3 linked regions of the Bombyx mori genome follow. The protein of the gene in region 3 purifies or fractionates together with the protein of the main gene of each other region. This does not show direct contact. Links are inferred from orthologs where the notes say so. Each region holds a gene or a part of one and is shown on either strand. Other genes may lie near its edges.

Region 1 (6,682 bases), on a different chromosome or scaffold from region 3:
TTAAAAATAATTACAGAACGAAGAAGAAATGCCAAGTGGTCGAGAAGACCTAGAAGCTTTTGTCGAGAGACGGCGTCAACGTAGAGAATGGGAAACAAAACGAAACGATCTTATGTTTAACTACACTCAATTCTCATATTATGGTAAACCGGTGAGTAAAACGTCTGATAAACCTATTGAACTGTGTTAACAATAATTATGGACATTAATGAATAAAGTAGATCCAGTCTTGTATCAATCTCACTTGTAATATGAATTTGACAATTATTTACAGATAAGTCTTAATCTAATAATACATTTGCATTAGAGTGCTTGCATAGCAGTAGAGCTGGCCTGGCTGCTATGTCGCAGCGGAGTGGAGTACACGTGGGCCGGATGCATAGCTGTCAGTGCGTATGCTGCCACTCACACACGCTCCCCTGCACAAGCTCTGCTTGATGCACATGCGCTGCATCGACATCTCGCCGCGCAACTACCTTCACATGTGAGTATGTTACTGCACATAAATATATGGGCACACACCAATATCATGCACGAGATACAACTACTGTACATTGCCACGGGTATTACTTAAGCTGGGTAGCCTTTAGAGGTTATGCCAGCGTAAACGAGAGAGTAGGTGAGCTCACGGGGCTCTAAGCTGTGGACGTTGCTAACTCTAGCCCTAGCACTGGTCTGCTTCTATCGGTTTGGATCCATCACCGGATCGGAAGGTCTGGCGAGAAACTCAGTGGGCTGTGTAAGTGGGTTAATTTACTTTTTTTTTTTTTTTTTTTTTTTTTTTTTTCCGGGCCGTGGGCCGAACCTCCTACGAGGTCCCCGCGCCTAGGGGGCGCGCGGGGTATGTGAGACTCAACGATCTGCAGGTGTTGAGAGCAGACCGCGGGCCCAAGGAATTTAGGGCCCACCCACTAAACGACTCCCCTGCACTCTTACACCCGGCGTCCGATCTCCGTCCGGGGTCAAAACCCGGTCAGAGTAGGGGGGTTCCCGCGGTCAACACTACAACCAGACACGCGGCGCCACCCCGAGGACGCCCGACCGACGGGTCGTCGAGGCGATAGTCGACGACCAACGACGTCAGTCTCCGCGGTACGGCGGCCCTTCAGGCCGCCCGGGCGATGCCGCTGGTGTTCCGGGATACCCCGCTGGGCCAGAACCAGCCTGCCGGGTCGGAACGCGATACACCGCCGACCGGGTTGCTCTTCCACAGTGTTCGGCGACGACAGCGACGACGAAAATGCGGACCGCATCGCAGTCCGCAGCCGCCGACGCGTCGTCCCGTCCTCCTGGTGCCAGCGCGCTAGAGTGACGGTAGCGTGCGGCGCAGTCTCAGCCCCCTTAGGTCGCCCCGTGACCATCACCGGGAGGAGACTGCCTCCTCATAGGGGCCGGAGCTGGACAAACGCCCTCCTCCGACCCCCGGCTCGACGGCGGCGGCACGGCGCCGAGAGGGAGGAAGAGTTCTCCCTCTCCCGTTCCGCCGCCTCCTTCTGCGAGATGGTGGACACGCAGAAGTCGAGCATCGCCTGCCAGGACTCATCGCTGCCGAGCATCGCAGCCACGACGGTCGGAAGCGACAAGTCCGGTCCTATTTTTGCAACGAGGACGCGGCGCTGCTCCGCGAAAGCGGGGCAGCACGCGAGCGTGTGCTCCGCCGTGTCCTCGTTGCAGCCACTGCAATGGTGGCACTTCGGCGTCGGCTCCCTCCGGGCGACGAGGTGCAGGTAGCGACCGAAACAGCCGTGTCCCGTGAGCACCTGCGTCGCTCGGAAGGTGAGACGTCCTCGGTCGCGATTCACCCAGTCCGAGAGGACCGGGCGGATCGCCTCGACGGTCCGTCGCCCGTAGGCGGGGTCCGCCAGGCGGCGAGACCACGCCTCGAGCACGGCACGCCGAGATTGAAGCTTCCGCGCTCGAACTTCCGCCGCGCCGGGACGCGGCTCCCCCCTGGAGCGGAGATCACATCGCCACGCGTAATCCGCAGCAAGCGCCTCCGCTTCCAGGTCCCAGGGAGGCGTCCCGGCGAGCACGCACGCCGCCTCGAACGAGACGGTGCGGTACCCACGAACCGCCCTGACCGCAATCGCGCGCTGCGGACGTCGCAACGCTGCGACGTTGTCACGGGTCAGGGCGTGGCACCATACGGGCGCCCCGTACAGTGCCATTGACCGCACCACCCCCGTGTAGAGGCGGCGCACCACCATGTCGGGACCCCCGACGTTCGGCAACAGCCGACTCAGCGAGCCGGCGGCTGCCATCAGTCGGGGACCCAATCTTTCGAAGTGAGCACGGAAGCTCCAACGACCGTCCAGTACGAGGCCGAGGTACCGCAACCCGGTCGCCTCGATCTCGACGCGAACGCCTCCGATCACGAGGTGGGCCCCCTGAGGCGGCGCTCTCCGGGCCCCGTGGAACAACAGGGCCTGGGATTTATCGAACGCCACCTCCAGACCCAGCCTTCGGATCCTGCCGACGACGAAGGCCACCCCCGCGCAGGAAAGACGGGCAGACTCGCGCAAGTCCCTACCCCGGGCCACGACCAAGGTGTCGTCCACGTAACAAACTACGCTTAGACCCGGGAGAGGAGCGCTAAGGGCACCCCGCAGGACCCAGTCGTAGCCGATGTTCCACAAGAGAGGGCCAAGGACCGACCCCTGTGGGACACCGCGCTCGACGGGGAAGCGGAGCACCGCCCCACCGTGCTCGGTGCACATGACCGACCTGTCCTCGAGGTAGGACCCGATCAGCCGACGGAGATACGCAGGGACGCCGTGATACTCCAGCGCCCCTGCGATCACCGACCAGGGCAGGGTGTTGAACGCATTGGCGATGTCCAGGGACACCGCCAGTGCAACCCCGCCCCGGCCGACAGCCTCATCAGAGAGGGCGCGCACGCGCATCACCGCGTCGATGGTCGAGCGGCCCTCCCTGAATCCGAACTGCTCCGTTGACAGATCGGGACCCACCCCCGCCAAGTGCTGGACGATGCGGGCGGCCACCACTCGCTCGAGCAGTTTTCCCGCCTCGTCCAGCAACACGATTGGACGGTACCCCGCAGGTGAGTCTGCAGGGCGTCCCTCCTTCCTCAGCAAAACAAGTCTGCCCGTCTTCCACTGTTTCGGAAACCGTCCCGACTCGAGGCAGGCTTCAAAGAGCCGCACGAGCCGGTCCCCAAGGGCACCGAAGGCCAAATCCCAGACCCGACCATGAACACCGTCAGGGCCGGGGGCCGCGTCCTTCCTCCGCATCCTCGACACGGCCGCACGAATCTCCTCCTCCGAGATACTCGGAGGGACCACCTCAGCAGGGGCATCACCGCTCACATCACCCCGTGGCGGCGCGCCCATGGAGGGGGGCTCGAAGTCCCTCTCCATCCGCGGGAACAGCCCGGAGACAATCTCCCGCAGCTGCTGAGGCTGGAGACGCTCTGTCACCGGGAGCGCCCACGGCCGCAATTTCTTGCGGACCGTTTGGTACGGGCGCCCCCAGGGATCCTGGTCGAGCGTCTCTAGGAGCGTCTTCATGCTCTGAGACTTGGCCTCGCCGATGACCCGCCGCAGTGCCTCCTGCTTCTGACGGCAGTCGGCATGCAGGCGGGCCGCTACCTCCGCGAAGTCCGCATCGCGAAGGCGGCGACGGCGGTGGCGGGCGCTTCGGCGGCGCGCCCGCACGCACTCCTCTCGGAGGAGCGCGATCTCGGGCGTAGTGGGTTAATTTACTAGCCGAACCCTACGTTACAAGCGACGGGTTCGACGAGAACGGTGACTGGTGCTTGAGGTACCTAAAAGCACCGTTAGTGTACCGGGAGGATGCGAAATGACGTGCTTAGGACGACGTTGACGTCGCCGTGATAAACATTCGGTCTGCAGAATAGGATATGTTGACACTGGTACTTAACAGATGTAATATAGAAAAACTATTGTAACACACGATTTACTTATCTCTTTTACACTTTATTTCCAAACATTTACACAGAATATTATTTTAATAACCTAAAAGTACATATTATTATCCACAACACGCTTCGTCAGATTACAGAAATAGAGTTATCAGCAACATGCTTCGTCAAAAAACTTACACTTTTGTATGAAAATATTCTTATAAATCTATTTTTAATTCTCAGGGTGCTTCAGTAAGCATGGAAAAGGATGCGTTCCTGCCACTCTACCGGACCTGGTCTTTGGAGAATGCGTTGAAGTATTCTCCAGTTGTGGCTCCTCATCTTCGTCTTCATTCACTGGCTGGTGCTGACAGATTGAGGCAGCTATTGGCAGATATGGGGTAAGCCTGTTCTAAAGTTTATAAGGTCACAATTAAGCTGTTTCATATAAATGAGTTGTCAAATCCGATGGGTAGCACTAAAAATGATAGTAAAAGAGGAAGTGGTATATACAAAATTGGACCTTGAGTTATTGGTATATATTTGGTCGAATATGTATCCGGACATTAGTTTTCCTTATAATAGATCTATAGTTTGTAAAAACAGCACATGATTATCACAGATTTTATTGTAGATTAGCGACCCGCCCTCGCTTCGCTTCGGAAACATTAAATTTTATTATTGATAGCTGAGTCCCGCGATGCTATGTCCCCTCGTACCGCGGGTGACGCCGCGGGTCGAAGGTAGTCTAAAAAAAAGTAAAGCCTAAATTACTCCTTATATCATTAGCTACCTATCAGCGAAAGTCCCGTCAAAATCGGTCCAGCCATTCCAGAGATTAGCTGGAACCAACAGACAGATAAATATTGTAAAAAATGCTATTTTGGTGTATGTACCTTATATGTATTCATATGCATGTAGTAAAAAGCGATTATTTTTGTGCAGGACGAAATAGGGTTTTAATAGTTTTATCAAACAAATAGATTTAATAATATAGTTGATAAGTAATTACGTAACAAAAATGTATAATCTTAAATTATTTAATATGCAATATGTTAGTGTATCAGATCAGAGAATGTGAATAGACCAATAGGAACAATTCGTGGAGCGCTTTCACTACGGTAACATACAGATCAAGGGACCCTCCGAAAGTGACGCGTCGATAGCGCGTCGCGAGATGGGGTACTGAAATAAATATAAAAGGATGGCCATTTACAGGCAAAACACAGTTCCCAGTGAATCTTCGACAAAGAACCATCAGCAAGATAGAAACAGTTCTCAGAAGCTCTCCGACAAAGAAACATCAGCAAGACAGAAACAGTTACCAGCAGTTCTCCAATAGTACAGTTATCAGAAAACCACCAGTGAATTAGCTACCAGTGAACCAGACAGTTACCTGTGAAACCTCACTACAGAAGCCGAAACCCATCGAAAGAAACAGCCGTCTTCTACCAGCGCACAAACAGACAGCAGAAAATATTATTACACGACTCGGAAACAGCCATACAGACCGGGTCGTGTACATTTCATGGTCCATTCGAGCCGGATAGAGGACACATTTCATTATTCTCTCGAGCCGGGTAGAGGATACGTTTTGAAAAGGAAACTGGAACAATGCCGATAACGCGGTCAACAGGAAGAGGACGGATCGAAACTGAACAGTCGCCGCCCTCAGAAACCACAGCTACAACACAGAGCATGTGGACAGAAACAACCGCGAATACCGTCATGAGTCTGGTAGCCCCCACAACAGAATCATCGTGCGCAACAGCCAACACGGAAGCCACGACGAAACTCGCAGAGAAACCTGGGAACTCAAAAACAGAGGCCGTCAAACAGTATATAGCCAAACAGAATGACGTGCCAACAAAACAGCGCACCGGTACAGTCAAAACTGACCGGTCGCGAAACAGAAAAGAACAGAAGATAGCCAAAGCTAGAGAAGAGCTCGCCCGCCTACAGGTGGAGTTAGCAGCCGCCCGATTGGCCACGCTCGAAGCTGGATCTGATGACGAAAACAGCGAATCAGAATACAGTAAGTCAGAACTCGACGAAAGAGTGGGCACGTGGTTGGAAACCCAACCCACAAAAACGGAAAATCACGACCGACATGAGGAAACACCGGCGGGAGCCTGCGACAAACAAGACTTCTCAGTAGCCCTAGCACGAATAACTTGCGAAAATGTATTCGTAACGTTATCGAATTATATTTGTATGAGATTTGTACAGCGCCCCTATCGTACGTAAAAGGAACTAATTTTGGTAGCACGAACAAATTTCGTATCGCAATCGTATCGTCACGTAAACGATACTTGAACCTTATAAACAATGAAACGCTATAATTGCGAGCACGAACACTGTTTTGACGTACGGTAATGTAAATTTCGAAGGCTGGGTATCGACTGACTATCGAGTATTGTCGAAACTTTATTCACTTAAGATTTGTTGGTGAGAAAGGTTTCGTAACGTGTTTAAATATAATTTTCTCCATGTTTTTATTTTTTAAGTATTTTTTTATAAATAATAGTGTTTTCTTATCACTTTAGTTAGTTCTTATATACAATTAATTTTAATAAATTGCTCAAAATGCAAAGACCACCGTTGTACGAGCGTAGTCCTTTATATTATTTTGTTGCTGCAAGTTTACTTGAAAATGAAGAATATTCATCAAGAGAAGTTAGGTAAGTACCTACTTCAGTCAATCGTGTTATATTCTAATATTTTTTAAACATAAATTAATTGAGAATCAATTGGTTTTATTACTTATAGAGAAATTACACGCAGAGTTGCTCTGAGAAA
Region 2 (7,382 bases), on a different chromosome or scaffold from region 3:
ACAGGTATGCAATGAAATCCTCCTTTAAAATTTTTTGTCATAAATATGACGATTTAAATGTTCTGAATCTATACCCCTTGGCCGATTTTTTCCATCACGTCTAGATTTTTTGATATGTTTTTTTTTTCAAACCTTTATGGAACTCAAACTACTTATGGAATATTTGTGCTGATTTAAAAGTCGTCGCTATACTCACCGGATTACAATGAGGGTACACAAAGTTTTGCCGTTTTCTTTGTGAGTGGGACAGTCACGCAAGATAAAAACTTTAAATCCTGGGCTTAAAAATGTGTCTCAGAAACCTTTGGTGCCAAGTGAGAAAAAATTTCTGCCACCACTCACATAAGGTTGGGACTCAAGAAAAACTATATCTAAAATTAATATCAATGAATAATTTCAATATCTAAAAACCAAAATTCCTCGAATCAGTGACGCAAAATTGAAGGAAGAAATTTTTGTAGATCAACAGATACTTACGTGAGCTAATGAAAGATGAAAATTTTAATTCGAAGTTGAACGAAGCAGAAAAAAGAGCTTGGGCGGCTTTTGTGAAAGTTTGTCATAATTTTCTTGGGAACAGAAAAAGTGAGAACTACTGACAAATCATTCGGGAGCTTCTTTTTGCTTATAAAGCTTTAGGATGCAATATGTCACTCAAGATTTATTTTTCCGACTCTCTTTTAGATCTCTTTCCTGAAAATCTTGGAGCCGTATCAGATGAATATGGTGAAAGGTTTCATCAGGATATAATGCACATTGAAAAACGCTACAGTGGGAAATGGTCAGCAGCAGTGCTTGCTGATTTCTGTTGGTCAATTCGCTGAGAAACTCCAATAGAAACGATGACAAATAAAAAAACCACAAAATAAATCTTCTCACCATATAATGAGATAACTGACCGATATATATTCATTTTGTGACTATAATTTCAGATTTTTCACTGTAAAACTTAGACCGAAATATGTTTTCATTTCGTTATGATAATTGATATTTTAATAATATTGTTTGTTAATTAAATAAATATTATATGGGAATCTACGTGTGGTAACTAATTGTATGTCAGATTCCGTGTTTGGAGCACAAAATATAATGAATTCATCTATGAAAAAAAAGTAGAAAAAAATAATTTTTTTTGTAGACCTGTTACATATCGCACCCAGGCGACGGGACAAGGCAGCCGCCGTCGCCCAAAATTTATCTTGTCGGGTCCTCAACATCCGCTCTCGGTGCTTTTAGGTCTTTAAGCAGTGGTCATTGTCTTCGTCGAATTCATCGATTACTGACGCGTTGACGAACTGAACTGAAGAGTTCGACGTGCGAGCTAGTCCATAGACACAGCCCACTTAATTTCCCGCCGGATCTTCTAAGTGGGTCGCGGTTCCGATCCGGTGGTAGATTCTGCGAAGCACTGCTTTTGTTAGGGCTGGTGTTAGCATATTTTTCCAGGTTGTGCCCATGAGCCCACCTAATGGTCCGCGCGTAGTTGAACAGCCCCGTAGGCTACCGAAGATTAGGCAGTGAAAAATAAAAACTGTTGAGATTTGAGGTTTCGGTCTAAAACAACAGGTTATCAAATGTTTAATATAATAAGATCAACTCTAAATGCATGCAATTTTAAATATCTAAAAAGAATAAAAACAAGGTTACAATAAGTGTTTTTAATGTTATTACCACTTTTTGATTGTTACCAACCACTTTGTTACAAAATCATTAAAAAGTATTAAGAACTTACTAAACTTAAACTACACTTAACTACACTTAAAACTATGTATTTTGAGAGCTCCCTGATTGACTGAAGGTTGAACTATTTAAATTGAGCGATGGTGCTGTCTTTTTCGTTTTCTGTAAAACAAAAAGTTGATTATTTGTTACAAAACTGTACTGCAAGTACATATAAGAATAATTGCACTCAGATCTTCAATTTTAAAGCCCACCCAAATAACCTTGCTAAGCATCTAACGGACAACCAAATGACAACAAGAAGACTGAAGAAGAGTGTCTTCAGATCTACTAGATCCAGTGTAGATTCACTGATATGGACATTGTGCGTGTACTGCCTATCAAATTATTTTTGTCAAAACTACAGTTGAAAGTCTAAAGACAGCTTACTGTAATTTACTCTATAAAACAAATAAAAAAATCTTCAATACCGAATTTAAGTTTAACAATGATATTGATAAGACCAGGTTTACAAACTCCAAATTACCGTAGTTACTAAACCTTAGGTTAGCTGAACTCACTGCACACTCACAGTTTTAGTTTTGGTAACACACATCATCATCACAACAATGTGATTTGCCCTTCTACTAGGACACGAGAGTGAAGTCTAGAACAGAAATCCAAGGATCCTTCAGAGTAGAATGCATAAATGTGTCACGTATAAGATGGTCCGAAGGATGGTACATACATTCAGAGATATTCGTAAAAAGGACAAAGTGGAGATGAAAATACAGAAGGATGTGTCTAAAGGAGAGTATATTACAATTTGTCACACATGTTCTTACCATTTGCATCCTTAAGAGGTTGTCCATAGCAGCAGGTAGAAGAGGTTTCACTGAGTTTATTTCCATCATTGTTAAATGATCTAATCTGCCATAGCCACCTGAAAATGTCAATTATAAATGTCCTGAATTTAACTTATGACTGAGTAAGTCACATTCTATATTTTTTTCTTATCTTAATTTAAGCATACCATTCTGGTGTTAAGTTGTTACCGAAGACCACATATCATCATTATAGGCTTTCTGATCCATGCAGGTTTACAATATCATCAGTTACAATAAAATAAAATATAAAATCCTCTCAATTCAAAAATCTTTAAAATGTAAGTTAAAAGTACTTAAAAGTAAAGTATTTTAAAGGAATCATTACAAACCTCCAGTTTTCATCAATGCATCCATTGATGTTCGTAACTTAGACATTCTTATATCCCAGATGTCTTTGATAATAGTCTTTATTTCTGGTGCATTGGGAACATCTTCGGCAGCTGAACCAAGTATCAGTTTGGCTTCCACCATATAGTGTTCATTTGGCATCTTTGTGAAGAATCTGGTAGTTTGATAATTTTAGGAAGATTTAATGTGAAAACTTTGACTACTACAACTACTTGCTTTATCTTGCTGATAATTCTCAAACGCCATTTAATGATAGATTTTATATTTACACACCCTTTCATGAGTACTGGCAAAGATATATTTATTGACCAATGAACTTCAAGTTTTTTAATCATGTTACAATTTGAGATTTATTAACAGGTAGACCACTAATAGTTATTGTTTAGTATCAGTGTTAGAATGGATGGCTCTAGAAGGTATTTATAACATAAACCATAATAATAAAATATACTTTTTGATTTAAAATTAAGACATGGAAGTTGTATAAACAAAATATTAAATTGTATCTGGAATAAACTGGACCACCTAGAAAGATCAAAGTTTTGAAACTGGTGTGTTTTGTAAAAAACCAAATTTATTAAATATATTGACAAACCTGGAACGCTTTTCCTCTTCTTTAATATTCTCCAAAACTTCCACGTCCATCCAGTCAGGAGGGATAACATGGCACTTTTGTTTCTGCTTTAGCATGATAGCCAGCCAGAGTGGTACGTTCACAGGTAAACCAGCACGAAACGGACCAAATTCACCGCATATCAAGTATATTTTATCATGGGTAAAGTTTGGTGTTATACTGATTATCCGATTCTCACCAATAAACTCGATTTCATAAGGTTCCATTATTATTTTTATGGTTTTAATAATTTATAATCATTTAATAATATACATATATTTAATTTAATTCATTTTGGTTAAAAATTTAGGAATATTACCTACCTTTATCATGTTTTTATTTATCATATTTTTTTAGGTATTTTATATTATGACCTGGTAACTAAGACTTTTAAGTCATGTCTTATTTTAATTTATACTCTTATTTTTATGAAAAATGATGAAATGAAATGAAGATAATTAATTTGAGACATTAATTAACTGGGATGAAATCAAATGAAATGAGATGAGATGATATGGGATGAACTATAATCTCAGTAAAATGGTGGTCATTTACTGAGATTTTTTCGTTGGACTTTTGGAGGATCCCGAGAAGTGACGTCCAGCGGCTTTGTTTCATTTTCCCACATTTTTGCACTTTCACAGATATTAAACAGTTAATAAACCACCATTATTACACATATAAACCCAAGAAACACTAAATAGACAAAATAAAACAAAACACACAACTTCACTCCTCGCGTTCCCGCCAAAAAGTCGCCTTATCTTTATCACTGATCTCAAACGTCATAGAGCGAGATTAGTAGACTTGCCAGCTAAAATCGGTACATTTGTACTATTTTGTACCCAAAATCGGTATTAGTCAAAAAATATACAATATTCAATCAAATGCGTTTATTTATTGAAAAAAAAACTTACATACTAATTTATAACAATCATATTTAAGAATAAATATTTTTTATACCAATATTGTTTGGCCATAGCTGCAGTCATCGTTGAATTAATTTCAAAATCATAGCAATTAGCTGTATTATAGAGTCGTTTTGCATGTAATAGACCAGTGATTGACTCAGTAGACAGCCTATTTCGCTGTTTTGTTTTCAAAAGAATAAATATGCGTTCAACGTTAGCGGATGAATAGGAAAGTGATAAAATATTAAGGATGAAATTAGACAACAAAGGAAACATTTGAGTTTCATCGCCACGTTTTAATAAAGTTACTTCTTCCCAAAATAGTTCTACATCATTAGGAAATGTTTTGATTTATTCACAATTTCTTAAAATGCGCTACTCTATCAATTTCCTGGAAATCATTGCTCTGAACAATATTGGGAAAGAGCCTACTTTTAAGTAGTATCGAAGTAGTCTTGCCAATTTTAACATGTTTTGGATCAATAATGTCTAAAAGTGTCAAATCGGTAGAAAAATCGGGAGAATTTCCATGTATACTCTGAAATCGTAGAAAAATCATTTTATTTCGGTATTTCAATAGATCAGTGCCCATATCGGTAGATATACCGAAAAATCGGTAGGTTCGAGACCACTGATATTTACTCTTGTTTATAGAGCTTAATTGTTTGACTTTGAAACTCAAATAGTAAGTGTTCTATGCTTTGACATACTGACATAGTGATGCAGATTTTTTGGCGGTAAGTGACCACCATTTTACTGAGATTATATTTCATCCCAGTTGATTAATGTCTCAAATTAATTATTTTCATTTCATTTCACTCCATATTATCATTTTTCATAAAACTATGAATATAAATTAAAATACGAAAATACGAAAAATGACCTAAAAGTCTTAGTTACCAGTTCATAAAATCCCTTAAAAAAAAGGAAAATTGGCGGGAATAACGTTTAAATAATACGACTTAGTAGATCGAATTTATGAAATAAGTTTCATAAATCCAGTGTTTTAAATAGCTGTATGAATGGCGATACTGGAAGTAGGTAATTAAGTTTTAATTTACATGTTTTCTTTAAATTTGCTTATTTAAGCGTCATCTATGCTACATTTAAATAACTGACATAGATGGTTTGTTTTCACTAAAGCTGGCGTAGTTCAGATGATTGAACTAGGTGGCACTAAAATAAAAAAAATCTACTTTAAAAAAAATCGTAGTTATAGAACAATTTTAAGTGGAATCGTAAATAAAGAACATTAAATAAGTGGGTATTATTTTTGTGAATTGCTTAATTTAAACTCAAATTGCATAAGTTAGCCTTACATGTAATTTAGTCGTTAGCATAATCCTGAAATAAAACGCGAAACTCGCTCACTCTTCATCTCTCTGCATAAAAGTAAAACATTGAAATTACCATTTAAAATTATTGACGTCATTTACGAGTGGCGATCGATGCAAATCGTTTTGGCAGAGTGCAAACTCCTAATTACTCCTCGTAAATTAGGGTAGCCGGTTGACAATGTCTCAGACGGGTGATATTTATGGCTCTATATTATTGGTGGGGACTCACCCCCTTGTGTCAGAGAGAACAGTAAGTTTATGCGTCTCTTAGTTTGGAAAAAACACATACATTGCTCTGTCTATAAACTGATCACTATGTATTTCATTCGCCCAATTTCAGTGCTAAGTCTACTATTTCGTCGGAGTTTTTAGTAACGCACCTATTCGACACTATGAAAATGGCAATAAATTTTATTTTGAACGAATCATATTTAATCTGTAGAGTCTATCTTTTATCATAGAAAATACTAATATTTCATTTATTTTCTGGTAAACCTTTGAAATATGTAAACATACTACAGTGAAATAATCACAAGAAGAAAAAGCATTCAGCGATTTCACGAAACATAAAAACGTCACAGATAAAAAACATCTTGGAGATTTATAAAAGTAACCTGTCTTGAATGCGACAAATAAATAACAGATGTGTCTGCACGAGCGAAAAACACATTGTCTCCGAGCAACAACATTCAACATCTTTCTTCTTAAATCTGCATACAAATTCGTGAGATCGCGCCCGGAAATTCAGCTAGTCATTTAAAACCCATTCTGTTTTAAGGCGTTTTTTCGCGCCATAAATATGTCAAATGTGACATTCGATGCATCTAGCGACATCTATTTTCAATACGTATGTACTTCCATTACGTTTACTAGTTTCAAATTTCCACAAAAGGTGGCGGTTAGAGTCACAACTAACAGTATTTTCCAAGTTCTTAATTAAACGAAACTAATGTTTTTTGTTTGTAACATGTCCAGAATAAATTCATTAAATACACCTATTAGTTCAAAATACACAAAAGTCATTTGAGGTACGTTGACGGTGCTATGGTAGAAATATTTCATTCAAGTGCAAACAACAATTAATTTATACATCACTTCTTTTTTTGTCTTTATTATCCAATCGTCTGGAAGAGATCCCTTCTTATAAGATGAACTTTCAATTCTAATATTATGGTATATTTACTAATTTATGTATATTAACTATGATATCACAAAATTTCGACTCGACTTATAAAAGACGCGTCGATTCATAGAAAATCATTGATTTATGAAGGGGGTATAGTCAAAACAAAGATAAAAATGAAACGGAAGTGCTGTTCCAAAGAGGAGATATTTTTTAAACTGCTAATTACTCCGGTAAGAACAATGAACTAACATTTTCATATATCTACGTCCCTTGTGGAGTGTAAAGTGAATTATTGTAATTACGCTTGGCCTCTGCCGCTTGCACAGAACTTTCATACTATCTTATGACTGTTGTTACGAACTTTTGTATAAGTATACAATTTTATATATTTCATAGTTTTTCACTGACTCCTGTAAGCATTATTTGTTGACGTAATTTTAACTATTTTTACGGCTTAATCTCTGTGGTTGCTTACAAAAATTCAAATGTAATAAGCTATGG
Region 3 (7,274 bases):
AGGATGACATTCCGCCCCCACATCAAGACGGTACGCGATCGTGCCGCCTTCATCCTAGGACGTCTCTACCCGATGATATGTAGGCGAAGTAAAATGTCCCTTAGAAATAAGGTGACACTCTACAAAACTTGCATACGCCCCGTCATGACCTATGCAAGTGTAGTGTTCGCTCACGCGGCCCGCATACACTTAAAATCCTTTCAAATTATTCAATCCCGTTTTTGCAGGATAGCCGTCGGAGCCCCGTGGTTCGTCAGGAACGTCGACCTCCATGACGACCTGGACTTAGAGTCCATCAGTAAGTATCTACAGTCGGCGTCCATGCGCCACTTCGATAAAGCGGCACGACACGAGAACCCTCTCATCGTGGCCGCCGGTAACTACATTCCCGATCCTGCGGACAGAATGGAAAGCAGTCGACGTCGCCCTAAACACGTCATCTCGGATCCTCCTGATCCACTAACGGTGCTTTTAGGTACTTCAAGCACCGGTCACCGTTCTCGTCGAACCCGTCGCTTGCGACGAAGGGCTCGACGAGTAAATTAACTCTCAGACACAGCCCACTGAGTTTCTCGCCGGATCTTCTCAGTGGGTCGCGTTTCCGATCCGGTGGTAGATTCTGCGAAGCACGACTCTTGCTAGGGTTCGTGTTAGCAACATCGTCAGGTTTGAGCCCCGTGAGCTCACCTACTAAAGTTAAGGCTACGCTGAAATAGCCGCTAGGGCTATCAGCTTAGGTAGGAAAAAAAAAAAAATATTTGAAGATACAAAGAAATGCATAACTTCTTCACAACCATTAATTGCATTTGACGAGAAACGTCCCCTTTATTTAGCATGTGACGCTTCCGACAAGGGATTGGGTGCAGTATTATTCCACAAGGACTCGAACATAGAACAACCAATTGCTTTTGCTTCAAGGAAACTACGACCAGCGGAAATGAAATATTCCGTTATTGATCGTGAAGCTTTAGCAATAGTATTTGGTATAAAAAAATTTGATCAGTACTTGAGAGGAACGAAATTTAATCTAGTTACGGACCATAAGCCTCTTATACATATTATGGGTGCACACCGCAACCTTCCTAAACTAGCCAATAACCGATTGGTAAGATGGGCCCTAGTAGTGGGAAGTTATCAATATGACATTTACTACAGGAAAGGTGAAAATAACACATTAGCTGATTGCCTTTCCAGATTACCAAACCCTGAAACTGAACCCTCCGAGACAGAAGGGCTTGTACATAAAATAGATCTACGTCTTTTGAGCACTCGAATGACTGACCTTAATCTATCAGAACAGTTACTTATGAAAACAACTTCAAAGGATCATATACTCACAAAAGTTTGTCAAAATTTAAAAACCGGCTGGAGAGAATCAGATTACAATCCAGAAATGAAACCATTCTACAGAAACCGGACTGAATTATCTGTTGAGAATAAGATACTTGTGAGGCAAGGACGCATCGTTATACCTACAGCACTCCGAAAAGCCATTCTTACATACCTTCATCGAGGACATCCTGGCATTTCTGCTATGAAAGCACTTTCACGTTACTATGTTTGGTGGCCTAACCTTGACGAAGACATAGAATTATTTGTCAAGAAATGTACCAGATGCCAACAGAACCGCCCTTGTAATCCTGAACTTCCTGTATTTTCCTGGTCCATACCAGAAGAAGTATGGGAGAGAATCCATATCGACTTTGCTGGACCGTTCGAAGGATCGTATTGGTTGGTATTGTGCGACGCTCTCTCCAAATGGGTGGAAATACGACCGATGAAACACATCAACACCAGATCACTTTGTCTTACATTAGATAACATATTTTGTACATTTGGCTTACCAAAAATGATTATATCCGATAATGGACCTCAATTTACATCTTATGAATTTAAAGAATATTGCACAAAACAATCTATTTTACATGTCACATCATCTCCATATCATCCTCGGACAAATGGGCTGGCACAACGTTTAGTCAGAACATTCAAAAATAGAATGGCATCGGTAGACAACACAAATCTCGAGCGCCGACTATTAGAATTTTTGTTTACATACAGAAACACTCCGCACTCGTCCACTGGTAAATCTCCAGCTGAGATGATGTTTGGACGACAATTGAACTGCATACTTTCCAACATTCGGCCAGACAAAAGAAGATTAATGCAGTATTTACAAGTAAAAGAAAACATTCGTACCACATCACCGAGTTACCGACCAAGTGACCAAGTATATATTAAAACACGCAATGATAAAATATGGGAACCAGCGGTAATTACATCCCGAAAACATAAATATTCATATATTGTTTCAACACCAGGAGGACTAGAAAAACGAAGACACGCTGATCACATCAGGCCACGCGAGTCCTCCACCTCAGAAACCCCGAGGAATGAAAGGGCGCATTCTTCTATGCTGCCGGCGACTGCTTCTCCAGACATTGGAATGGAAACAACAATTAACGAAAGGCTAACTAAAAACAAGAATTCAGCAGCAGTACCATTACCTACACCGCAGTCACCTACAAATGTACAAATTTCTCCAAATTCACCTTCACAGCATTCGAAGTTATACTCCTCACCTGCTCCGGTCTCCACTCCTGTGCCATTTGCTGCGCGTCGAAGTAATCGACGTATACAGGCACCCCGCCGTCTGATCAACGAGATGTAGATGGGGAGGAATGTTGTAACCTTCTTTTCCATATTCCATTATTTGAAATATACTTCGAACACATTGTCATTTTTACCATCTATCATTATTATATTTTTATGCTATGTCTTGAAAACATTGTTTTATTATATCGACTTTTATACCTTTTCGATACTTGGAATTTTATATCGATCGATATATATTGAAGTATTAAATAAAGCTCAAAAATAACTATAATTTAAAAAATTTATATCGATATATCGATGTATCGATATTTTTTCAACAAGCCTAGTTCGCATTGGCTATTTGCGAGAAATCGCGCCAACTGCTGAAATTTTTTAGATTTAACTTTTTGTGATAGTTATAATTTAGATAAGATTTTATTTGTGTAATTGTTAAAGTTTTCTATTAAAGTTTGAAATAAACCATAATATTCTAACGCTATTCATAGCAGTGATCGTGAGAAATATTGGACTCTACAACTCTCATCTCAATCAAAATAAATTCAACAATACGCAACGACTTTTTGATTTTGGTTAACTTTAAGTGTTAAAACAACTGAAACAAAATATAACAATTTTTAAAGCTAAGTTCAATATGGAGGAAGGTGATTTCGATCAACGTTTGAGAGACTTACAAAGGGAGTACCTCGAATTTCTTGACGATGGTGTGAGTTAATTATTTTTTGATATTAGGTATTGAAGTAAATGAAAGCTTTAAATTTTTTTCTGGTTACAATAAGTTTTAATATCTGAAATAAAATAATGAAGTATTTCAACCTCCTGTCCCATTAAAAATGGAGGCACTCATCTTTATAGATATGATTTTAAATAATCATAAGTGAAGTGCTTTGAAATTATAGAAGAAACTGATTTATTCTATTTTTTTCCGTTTCTTGTTTTATATTTTTTGTGGATTTCAATATTGCTAAGTTATCATAATCAATTTACGACACGTTGACAGCTTCTCTGTAATTTGTTAATATATAAATTAATTTTAAATGTCCAGGAAGATCAAGAAATTTATATGGAAAAAGTGAAACAGATGATAGAAGATAAATCAAAGCGCCTCTTAGTCAGCATCAATGACTTAAGGCGTAAAAGTCCTGAACGTGCCAAGAATTTACTAGAGAATGCCTTTGAAGAACAGATAGCATTCCAAAAGGCTTTAAAAGAATATGTGTCTTCGATAGACCCTACATATGCTAAAATTCAAGAGGAGTTTTTTGTGGCATTCTCAGGAAGTTTTGGTAACAAACATGTTACACCCCGAAGTTTGACATCTAGGTGGGTTATTACTTATAAACATGCTTATTAAAGTTCTACTGCTGAATTATGTCATTTTAATTTTAAGATGTGCTATAATTAACGAGCTTGTAAGGTTAAAACTAAGTTTGTTTTATGATATGTGATGGGTTCACCTAAAATTTATTTTTGTTTGTTTTCTGTGTGCAAAATTAATCTGTTTGAATATATATAAAAGTACTAGATTCAATGAAAAAAATATTTCATAATTATATAGTTTTAAGATTCAGTGCATACTATACATGTGGAGATGGAACAAGAAATTTACTGCTGAATACTACTGAAAATTTACAATCTTCCATAAATATTTGAGCTGTAAGCGTTTTTTTTATGATCATATACAAAAACAGAGGTCTAAAGTAGCTGAATAAGCTCAAACGTACAAAATGAGTCTAGATTTATTTACAAAAAATTGCATAAAAGAAAGATTCAGGATAAGTTACAATGTATTGTGCTTTAGATATTAGTCAGATTAGAATTGATTGAGAATATTATTTGTTTTTCTCACACTTATCTAATTGTTGTAATATTTCCAGGTACCTCGGAAATCTAATCTGTGTGGAAGGCATAGTGACTAGAGTATCATTGGTTCGTCCTAAGGTGGTCAGAAGTGTACATTATTGTCCAGTTACCAAAAAAGTGATGGAAAGGAAATATACCGATCTAACTTCATTTGAAGCATTTCCCACCTCTGCTGTATACCCTACTAAGGTCCATAGTTTAGTCATTAATTAAAATTAGAATAGAATAACAAGAAATTGTTAGTGAAATATAAAGATCTCATTAGACTACCTTCTAAAAAAACCTTCTACTCTGTGCTGAAGTAGTAGACTACTTCAGCACAATGTGGTATTTTCTCTGTATTTTGCCAGTTGTCGTAGACAGCTACTACACATTTGTTATTTATTTTGCTACTTCGACTACTTATTTTCACGACACATTATGATCAGAATCTGTGAACTAAACTTATTTTAAATGTTTTCAAAATAGGTAAAGATAAGCATAATTTTAACTGATTCTTTTGCTATATTGGATGACATAATAAGTTACTAATTTTAAAGTTATCTTACGATTTATAGATACATTAGCACTTCTATAATTGTAGTCAAAAAAATTTAACTTTTTATATCTTAAATGGGTGGACAAACTCACAGCCCACCTGGATTTAACCTGGAGCCCATAGACATCAACAAAATATCATCACCTACCTTGAGCCATGAGCTCTAAATCTCAGTTTAATAGTAGAATAGCTGTGTGGTCCGGTCCACCTTTCAAACTGTGTCATAGTAAAAATAGACAGGTTGGTGATATTTTGCCATTTGTGTCTGAAGTTTATGAGTAACATTTATAGTGTAACTCGTATGTTCATAGGATGATGAAGGCAATCCTCTAGAAACTGAATATGGACTTTCGCGGTACAAAGATCATCAGACCCTTACCGTTCAAGAGATGCCCGAACGGGCACCAGCTGGGCAACTGCCAAGAAGTGTAGATATTATATGTGATGATGATCTAGTAGACAAATGTAAACCAGGAGACCGGGTGCAGATTGTAGGGAACTATAGATGCCTGCCCAATAAGCAGGGAAGCTTTACTGCTGGAACATTCAGGTATGAAGAGAAGTTACCTTTTGATATACATTTTTTTTATTGCCTTTGTAGGCAGACGAGCATACGGCCCACCTGATGGTGAGTGGTTACCGTCGCCCATGGACTTCAGCAATGCCAGGGGCAGAGCCAAGCCGCTACCTTCCGCTATGAAATATACATTTGAAAAGGATCATTATAAGAATTTAATTAGGTTTTGTTTCTTTTGAATTGTCATCAATATGTGTCTGGTGCTGTACATTTTAAAGGACCACTCCAGTATATAGTGCTCAAAGTCCTTTACACACAAAGGTACCGACAGTGTGGGTATTCAAGAAAGTATTTGTTCTTCTTTTAATAAAAAGGATTGCTATTGACACTGAACCATCTTGGGTAACCAGCATGTTTTCTTAAATTTATAATTCACTAAACAAAATAATAAAACAATAGTACCTTCATTTAAAACCATTATTATATACTTATTCCTGAATATTACATACTGAATTCATATTTTACATTTGTCTATTTACCCCAGTCCATAGAGGATTCAATTTAAAGTAATGTTATATTTTTTCAGAACAATCCTTATAGCTAACAATATAACACAAATCAACAAGAATATGAACATGTCAATAAACAGGGAAGATGTTAAGATCTGTAAAAGACTCGCAAAGAGAAAGAATGTTGATATGTTTGAACTTATGAGCAAATCTTTAGCTCCGTCAATCCATGGTCATGATTATATCAAGAAAGCTATTTTGTGCTTATTGCTTGGAGGCATGGAGAAGGTACTGCCAAATGGTACAAGATTGCGAGGGTGAGTATGTATTGGTGGGTTTGAATACAAAAGGATGAATTTGTTTGCTTGTGACCTATATGTTTGCATGTTTTTAAATCAGAATGAGTTGCAATTGTGATCAGCCATTGGCAGTTCAGAGAAGGTTTTAGTCATAGGACTATTAAAGTATGGTAGTTCTGTATTAATTACTTCATAAATGAGTATTAGTAGTTAGCATTTTTGTAAAGGAGAAACCTCGATTTCACTAGTTAATTCTTACTTACGGGAGAATGTTGCAAAGTATAACGAGGACTTTGTTATACTTCGAAGTGTTACTGCCATTTTGTTACTTTATCACTACTTTGTCTATTTGTTTGGACAATTAATAAAATAACAAATTCAATAGATGAAAATGCAATCCCTATTGTTCCTTCCTCTTAAAATAATCTTAAATCATCGTAATAAAAAAATCTTAAATAATCACATAAAACTGATTAATCACCTTAAAGAGTACGAGAAGAAAGCTTGGAAAAGTAGGATCATGGGTGACATTATGAATTAAATAGTAAAATGCAGTTTCCTTAAAGATCGGATTCTACATGTACTTTGGGAAGAGATCCCCAAATTACAAAATGAAACCGTACCTTGTCTTATTTTGTATTTTGCAAGCTTGTTGGATACGCCATTGTTTTTGATTGCGTTCTGCGTGGTACATTCCACTTGGAGGTCGGTTTCGTGTGCCTTCTTATATTTAATTTGTAGTTATACCGACAAAAAGAAGATCTTGTTGTTTGGATCTTGTATATATGCGAGCTTATCTTGAGAATGTCGCAAGCCAGATTTACGCATCTGTCAAATATCTTGTGTTGTATGATGGCTACCGCCACAAATTAAAAGCTGTCATTTAGTACTAAAACATTACGGTTGTTTTTCGTTTACAGAGACATCAACGTTCT

The links.
Region 1: the proteins of DNA replication licensing factor Mcm3 (region 3) and cell division control protein 45 homolog purify together in Drosophila melanogaster (affinity purification with western blotting; 5 studies listed by BioGRID, with this or other methods). This does not show direct contact. The link is inferred for Bombyx mori from reciprocal best matches to the Drosophila melanogaster genes Mcm3 and Cdc45.
Region 2: the proteins of DNA replication licensing factor Mcm3 (region 3) and probable DNA replication complex GINS protein PSF2 purify together in Drosophila melanogaster (affinity purification with western blotting; 3 studies listed by BioGRID, with this or other methods). This does not show direct contact. The link is inferred for Bombyx mori from reciprocal best matches to the Drosophila melanogaster genes Mcm3 and Psf2.

What each region holds. Positions count from the first base shown.
Region 1 is NC_085122.1:1,047,222-1,053,903, reverse strand, and holds part of cell division control protein 45 homolog, read left to right. Parts: intron 1-16; coding exon 17-151; intron 152-307; coding exon 308-484; intron 485-4,126; coding exon 4,127-4,284; intron 4,285-6,422; exon of another isoform or gene 6,423-6,469; coding exon of another isoform or gene 6,470-6,564; intron 6,565-6,652; coding exon of another isoform or gene 6,653-6,682. Other genes in the region: putative nuclease HARBI1, read left to right, coding at 6,470-6,564, 6,653-6,682.
Region 2 is NC_085116.1:1,522,844-1,530,225, reverse strand, and holds probable DNA replication complex GINS protein PSF2, read right to left. Parts: upstream 4,268-7,382; 5' UTR 3,735-4,267; coding exon 3,490-3,734; intron 3,049-3,489; coding exon 2,876-3,048; intron 2,603-2,875; coding exon 2,307-2,602; 3' UTR 1,843-2,306; coding exon of another isoform or gene 1,765-1,842; 3' UTR 1,644-1,764; downstream 1-1,643. UniProt on the Drosophila melanogaster protein: The GINS complex plays an essential role in the initiation of DNA replication.
Region 3 is NC_085112.1:2,201,524-2,208,797, forward strand, and holds the start of DNA replication licensing factor Mcm3, read left to right. Parts: upstream 1-2,925; 5' UTR 2,926-3,247; coding exon 3,248-3,319; intron 3,320-3,658; coding exon 3,659-3,936; intron 3,937-4,490; coding exon 4,491-4,665; intron 4,666-5,325; coding exon 5,326-5,564; intron 5,565-6,117; coding exon 6,118-6,357; intron 6,358-7,259; coding exon 7,260-7,274. UniProt on the Drosophila melanogaster protein: Acts as a component of the Mcm2-7 complex (Mcm complex) (Mcm complex) which is the putative replicative helicase essential for 'once per cell cycle' DNA replication initiation and elongation in eukaryotic cells.